Linked DNA regions of Xenopus tropicalis. The protein of the gene in region 1 purifies or fractionates together with the protein of each later gene. This does not show direct contact. Links are inferred from orthologs where the notes say so. Each region holds a gene or a part of one and is shown in the gene's direction. Other genes may lie near its edges.

Evidence for each region.
Region 2: the proteins of dcaf4 (region 1) and cops6 purify together in Homo sapiens (affinity purification with mass spectrometry; 4 studies listed by BioGRID and IntAct, counting the BioPlex papers as one, with this or other methods). This does not show direct contact. The link is inferred for Xenopus tropicalis from reciprocal best matches to the Homo sapiens genes DCAF4 and COPS6.

What each region holds. Positions count from the first base shown.
Region 1 is NC_030684.2:106,297,459-106,301,592, reverse strand, and holds the start of dcaf4 (DDB1- and CUL4-associated factor 4), read left to right. Parts: upstream 1-1,178; 5' UTR 1,179-1,750; intron 1,751-1,769; exon of another isoform or gene 1,770-2,175; intron 2,176-4,134. UniProt on the Homo sapiens protein: May function as a substrate receptor for CUL4-DDB1 E3 ubiquitin-protein ligase complex.
Region 2 is NC_030679.2:144,242,828-144,246,427, reverse strand, and holds the start of cops6 (COP9 signalosome complex subunit 6), read left to right. Parts: upstream 1-1,494; 5' UTR 1,495-1,515; coding exon 1,516-1,567; intron 1,568-1,835; exon of another isoform or gene 1,836-1,922; intron 1,923-2,926; coding exon 2,927-3,052; intron 3,053-3,143; coding exon 3,144-3,275; intron 3,276-3,600. UniProt on the Homo sapiens protein: Component of the COP9 signalosome complex (CSN), a complex involved in various cellular and developmental processes.

The sequences.
Region 1 (4,134 bases):
CCACTTTACATAGGTACATTTCCAACTTAAGGTAAACTTCATGACTTATCCATTTCCCTTCCCCTTCTGTGCACTTAATGTGGGAGAAATGCATACGTGTAAAAGCTTAATTACTTTAATACAGATAAAACTTTCCAATACATTCACAGAGTATAGGCGTATCAAGAGTCACTGGTATGGATCAGGTGGCTGCTCCTTTCTCTTTCCCTGTTCGTGACCTGCAGTGGGGCTCAGCAGTCCTGCCCTGTACAGTGCTCCTCTCCACGTCCTCTCCCACTGCTGATGCTGCTTTTCCGTCAATCAGGCTTCACAACACTGTTCCCCTTCACACAGCCTTTCCCCTGCAATGGCCCCCTCAGCTAGGCTTCCCCAGACTGTTTCCCTTCACACAGCCTTTCCCCTGTAATGCCCCCCTCAGTCAGGCTTCCCAACACTGTTCCCCTTCACACAGCCTTTCCCCTGTAATGCCCCCTCAGTCAGGCTTCCCCAGACTGTTTCCCTTCACACAGCCTTTCCCCTGTAATGCCCCCCTCAGTCAGGCTTCCCAACACTGTCATCCTTTACACAGCCTTTCCCCTGTAATGCCCCCTCAGTCAGGCTTCCCCACACTGTTCCCCTTCACAATGACTTTCCCTGTAATGCCCCCTCAGTCAGGCTTCCCCACACTGTTCCCCTTCACAATGACTTTCCATGTAATGCCCCCTCAGTCAGGCTTCCCCACACTATTCCCCTTCACACAGTCTTTCCCCTGTAATGGCCCCCTCAGTCAGGCTTCCCCACACTGTTCTCCTTCACACAGCCTTTCCCCTGTAATGCCCCCTCAGTCAGGCTTCCCCACACTGTTCCCCTTCACAATGACTTTCCCTGTAATGCCCCCTCAGTCAGGCTTCCCCACACTGTTCCCCTTCACAATGACTTTCCATGTAATGCCCCCTCAGTCAGGCTTCCCCACACTATTCCCCTTCACACAGTCTTTCCCCTGTAATGGCCCCCTCAGTCAGGCTTCCCCACACTGTTCCCCTTCACACAGCCTTTCCCCTGTAATGCCCCCTCAGTCAGGCTTCCCCACACTGTTCCCCTTCACAATGACTTTCCCTGTAATGCCCCCCTCAGTCAGGCTTCCCCACACTGTTCCCCTTCACAATGACTTTCCCTGTAATGCCCCCCTCAGTCAGGCTTCCCCACACTGTTCCCCTTCACACAGTCTTTCCCCTGTAATGCCCCCTCAGTCAGGCTTCCCCACACTGTTCTCCTTCACAATGACTTTCTCCTCAATCAGCTTTCCCCACACACCCTTTAGCCTCTTCTTATCATTTCTATCAATTTCTCGCCCCCATCAGCATTCCTCTTACAGAGCCTTCCCCTCCTCTCAGCGTGTCTCTCGCAAAGTCCCTTTCGCATACCTCTCACCCAGCGTTTCTCTTTCAGTTCCCCAGCCATTCCTCAGTCTGTCTTCCGCCCCCAGCCAGCCATTCCCTCAGCGTGTCTCTCACAAAGCCCCTTCCCCTTCGCATACCTCTCACCCAGCATTTCCTTTCCCTTTTCCAGCCACTGAAAAGAACATGAGAAGAGGGAGAACTTACCAACAGCAAAAATTTCTTTTCTGCACTAAGATGACTGGACTTCCGGGTTACAGCCGGATATCCTGTGGGGAGAGACGTCGGGGGCTAGTCGCCGTATCACCATTCTTCAAAAATGTACCCATAGCATGGTGTGGAGTTTTGTTGGGGGCTTTTTGGCTAAATGGGAGGTAATTAAGTAAAATGCAGCTGGACATGGGTAACTTTTGGAGGGTGTAGTTTTCATTTTTTTTAATAAAAATTGTTACTGTTACTATGCCTATTATTCTGCTTGCTGCTCTGACAATCGGTCTATTTATTGGGCTTCTGACGCCCTTACTGTATATGATCTTAGGCTCCCTCCCTTTTATTCCCCACAAGCCGCTGTCGCTATAAATATGACTTTCCAGCGGTTCTGTTTGTAAGTGCCCAGTGCTACGTTTCTCTTCAACCAGCAAACTTGTATGGCCCTCCGCCCACCAGGTGGCAGCGGTGGCAAAAGCTGAATATAGAAGGAAATGCGCGTCGCCTGTCTGGCTGCTGCCCGGCTCTATGGTTGCACATGTGTTTGTTTTCCTCAGACTGCTTCGTGCTTTGAAGGATTTAATTTGGTTTTGTGAGTATTTGATATTGTTGTGCTTTACTGAATGGCTCCTTTCTCTCCCCGTAGCTTCTACTGAAAGGAAGTTTATATGGCTTTATACCCCAAGCATTAGCTTCGGAAGTGTGCTCTAACAGCGCTATAACTGCTAGTAGCCGTGGCCCCATAATGGTTACACATCCTTTTAATATTAATGCTGTCATCGTGAGTTTTAAATATAGGGAAAGCCCGATTATAGTTGTGAGGGCTCACTACTGGACTTGTTTTCATTTTGGGAATAAAGGCATCATAGGGGCCTCTTGGAGTAGAACAAATGGCTAAAGAACATATATTGAGTTACAATTGATTCTTTCGGTATATACAGTCCAGCAGTCCCATTAGTCGAAGACTGTAGGCATGCTGGGAGTTGTAAGGGTAGGGCACCACCTTATTATGTACCCTACACACAACTCTTGCTGTGTTCTCCTATCTCACTATATACAATAAGCAGACATGAAAGCAGCAACTGTACTCACAGGAGAACAATATGTCAATGCACCATCCATGGAACTTAGTCATGTGTATATTAATGATATTCATCTCCATTATAAAGCACTGTATCCCTGTCGTATGTCAGAGCAGTAGTGCTGTAGCAGTAAAAGGGTAACTGGCACAACGAAACACTGGGAAACAGATACTGGAACTAACCAGTCTGAATGTTAAAAGACAAAGCTGTCACATTCTTTGATTAGTAGTCTTAAAGGGACTTCCTCCCTGGTATTATTTTTTTTAAGAAGATAGAGGTTTCTTTATTTGGTTTGTTTGTAGCTTTTATATTTGTATACCCTTCTGTAATATCTAATTTTTGTGTATATATTTTTGGATATTAAAGCTAAAACTGTAATACATCTATCTCTTAAATCAACCTATAGTCTGTACAAAAGTGTGTGTGTGTTACTGTCCCTTAACACTCTTTAGGTAAAAAAAAAAAAGGGAAAACATTTTAACCATTCCACTGCTGGAAGAAAGTGTGTGCTTAAATGTAAATTTAGGTTTTTTTTGTTTCTTGAATTGGTTAAAACGCAGCCATTGACTTTTGTGAAGCAGAATGTTTATGTGTGACTGTTCATGACTTCAGCTGGCTATACACGTGGCGATCTGACGATGGTCGCACGAAACATCGTCAGATCCGCCACACACCATTCAGGGCTGAATCGGCAGGTAAGGAGGGTAGAAACAATAGGATTTCTACCTCCTTCTGCCGATTCAGCGCTGAAGGGAGATTTTGGTCAGGCGCCTTCTATGGCGCCCGATCAAAATTTTCAAACTGGTCTGATCGGCGAGTCGGCCGATATCAGCAGCTTCCTGCGATATCGGTCGACTCGCCGACATACCATACACGCACCGAATATCGTACGAAACGAGGTTTTGTACGATATTATCGGTGCGTGTATGGCCACCTTTCTTTCCGAGCCTGATAAATAAAGGTGTTGGTAGTGTTTTGGACCAGGCTAGGTTGTTGTGCGATTATGCTAGTTTCTAACCTGTGGATAAAATGAGTGTGAGTCTGAGTGCTGAAATATTTAATCCCATGTAGCCACACTCAATGTCACGTGTGTCTGAAGTAGTATGTTCTGGCTCCCTGCTTGCGTGTAAATCAATTATCTGCAAGAAAGTGGTAATGGGATAAATACAAGGCCTAAATACAAAACTTTTATGTATTTATTTGATTTCTTTGTGTATTTATTTTTGGCATACAGTATTTATTTAAAAGTATTCTAATTTAAGATTTTTCTTAAGTAAATATGAAAATGTATTCGTTCTTTGTGCTTACATAGGGGATTGAGTTTCATGGTACAGGTATGGGATCACTTATCCAGAAACCCGTTATCCAGAAAGTTCCAAATTACAGAAAGGCCATCTCCCATAGACTCCATTATAAGCAAATAATTCTAATTTTTAAAAATTGTTTCCTTTTTCTCTGTAATAATAAAA
Region 2 (3,600 bases), on another chromosome or scaffold:
TAATTTATGAGCGAAACTTACCACAGGCCAATTATAAATACAGCGACACAAACAGCAGATCAGTACTGGGAGGAAGGAACCATTTGGGCATATACCACACACTTATACATGCGGTTACTCCGTTCCCAAGTTACTCTGCGGATGTACATCTTATTACTATACCACCTACTTACTTATTAGCACCCATACTGCTCCATCTAGTGGCGAACGTGCACTTAAACTGCTGCAACGAAGCAGGCAAAGGGCACAGATTATTATAATATATTAAATTACAACACAATTTCTGCCTATTATTTTAACTGGAAAAAAAAAATCCATGTTTTTTTTGTAACTAATTTCAGCTTCCAACTTCCTGGTTCTTGCGAGCACTTTTGGGAGGAAAAAAGTAGTTCATTAGAGCACGGGGGAACAGATTACCCATCAGCGTATCTGTTCGACAGACACAACAAACTGTGGGAGGGGGTTGTTTATACATAACTTACTATCTCCATGAAACGGCAAGTCACTAGTTAGCATTTACCATATATCCCCCGGGAGAGACTGAATTTTTGTATAAGGTCTAGGCTTAATTTAAAAGAACACTGACATGGGAAAACATGTTTGTTACAAAACCCATCAGTTAATAGAGCAGAATCCTGCATTGTAATCTGTTTTTCCCATGGGGCTAGCCATATTCTTCATTTCCCAGGGTACCACAGCCATGTGACCTGTGCTCTGATAAACTTCACTCACACTTTACTGCTGTGCTGCAAGTTGGAGTGATACCACCCCCCCCTCACCCCCAGCAGCCAATCAGCAGAACAATGGGAAGGGAGCAAGATAGCAGCTCCCAGTAGGTATCAGAATAGCACTCAATAGTAAGAAATCCAAGTCCGGCTTGGGACTCCTCCAGTTACATGGGAGTAGGAGAAACAATAGGTTAGCTGAAAGTAGTTCTAATGTGTAGCACTTGCTCCTTCTGAAAGCTCAGACTCAGGCACACTTTACTGCTGCGCTGCAAGTTGGAGTGATACCCCCCCCTCACCCCCAGCAGCCAATCAGCAGAACAATGGGAAGGGAGCAAGATAGCAGCTCCCAGTAGGTATCAGAATAGCACTAAATAGTAAGAAATCCAAGTCCGGCTTGGGACTCCTCCAGTTACATGGGAGTAGGAGAAACAATAGGTTAGCTGAAAGCAGTTCTAATGTGTAGCGCTGGCTGAAAGCTCAGACTCAGGCACAATGCACTGAGATGGCGCCTACACACCAATATTACAGCTACAAATACATTTGTTGGTTCAAGAATAAAAGGTTAAATGGCAGAGGGAATTATTTGCTGTGTAACAGTGTCATTTAATAAATAAAAAGTTCCCCATAAATATCATGACACAATCCCTTTAAGCCCTATAGCCAACATTGCCACAGACCCCCTTGTGTGACTGACATGTTTAGGAAGCCAGGCTATCACATGATAACCGAAAGGCACCTTGGGAAATGCGCAAGCTTAGTAAAGAGCCACAGTGCAGGGTGGAGCAAGATGGCGGCGGCTGCTGCTTCGAACGGCAGCGGGATGGAGGTGGACGTCGCCGGTGAGTATGTAAAGCGCTTGGCTATTGCAAAATGCAGCAGGAGCAAAACAGTTCGCTCTCATATGGAGTTTATGAAAATACACAGGAAGACACCGGCTTTACGCTGAAATCGTTACAGTGAAGCCTATAGGTCTCCATTGGATGCGGGCTTGCCTGTATAGCGTGTGGACTGGTTGTCCGGATAAGGAGGAAATGAGTGGCGCAGCGCCATTGGCTGTGCCAAACGTCAATCAATGGAAACAGGCGCGCAGTAACGTGAAGCGCTGAAGTGAAGCTTTATGTGTGTGAGGGAACAACATGGCTTCTTGGGAGTATTCACATAAATACAGACTTTGAGTTGTGACAGGAAAATCATGTGTAACCAAAATAATGACTGAACTATTACATGCTTCCCTGTGTATTACAGTCTGGCTGTATTTCTGCCAGGGCCAAACATGGCTGCCCAAAGGGCAAAGCCTTCTGCTCTGTCAGAGAAAACACCTGAGGGCAGATACTGTTTGTTTAACTATTCACTGGTAATATGAGCCAGACCTGTCACTTTATGAGGAGAAAAGAGTGACCATAGCTGGTCCAAAACAAATGTAACAATATCTTATAGGTATAGGACCCATTATCCAGAATGCTCAGGACCTGGGGTTTTCTGGATAAGGGGTCTTTCCGTAATTTGGATCTCCTACGTTAAGTCTATTAAAAAATAATTTAAATAAACCCAATAGGATTGTTTTGGCTCCAATAAGGGGTAATTATATCTTAGTTGGGATCAAGTACAGGTACTGTTTTATTATTACAGAGAAAAGGGAATCATTTAACCATTAAATAAACCCAATAGGGCTGTTCTGCCCCAATAAGGGGTAATTATATCTTAGTTGGGATCAAGTACAGGTACTGTTTTATTATTACAGAGAAAAGGGAATCATTTAACCATTAAATAAACCCAATAGGGCTGTTCTGCCCCAATAAGGGGTAATTATATCTTAGTTGGGATCAAGTACAGGTACTGTTTTATTATTACAGAGAAAAGGGAATCATTTAACCATGAAATAAACCCAATAGGGCTGTTCTGCCCCAATAAGGGGTAATTATATCTTAGTTGGGATCAAGTACAGGTACTGTTTTATTATTACAGAGAAAAGAGAATCATTTTCAAAAATGTGAATTCTTTTATTAAAATGGAGTCTATAGAAGATGGCCTTTCCCTAATTCGGAACTTTCTGTACTAGGAAAGCAGCATTAAATGTGTAGAATATGATAAATGCCCACAGTATAGAAGGTAGCTTTTTTTGATATTATTGTACAAACTTCCCCTATGTATTTTTTTTACTAGAACTGTTATTGAACATTTTGTCGTTTCTTTCCTAGCCTTCCCCACTGTCATGGCGCAGGGGGTAACTGGCAGCGTGACAGTTGCGCTCCATCCCCTCGTCATCTTGAACATCTCCGATCACTGGATACGCATGAGATCCCAGGAGGGGCGCCCGGTGCAGGGTAATGTGCCACTATCCCTTCCTCTCATTTCTTCCTATGGATCCTGAGGCTTCACCCACTTACTGACCCCCCTTCCCTCTCCCACCCACAGTTATCGGAGCCCTAATCGGGAAGCAGGAGGGCAGAAACATTGAGGTGATGAACTCGTTTGAGCTGCTTTCTCAGATTAACGAAGAAAAGATCACCATTAATAAAGAGTACTATTACACCAAGGAAGAGCAATGTAAGTGCTTATGTGCCACTAGGGGCACGTACATGTTATAATTCCCACACACAATATGGAAATGGTCATCTTTTAATCACTATATAGCACCTAAAAATGTTGGGCTTAGTACAGGGGAATCCCTATGCTGCCATAGTTTTATGGTATCTCTCTGTACAGGCTATGAGCAAACTTAGGGGGCTGTTCCTGCTGAATTGTGCTTAGTACAGGGGAATCCCTATGTGCCATAGTTTTATGGTATCTCTCTGTACAGGCTATGAGCAAACTTAGGGGGCTGTTCCTGCTGAATTGTGCTTAGTACAGGGGAATCCCTATGCTGCCATAG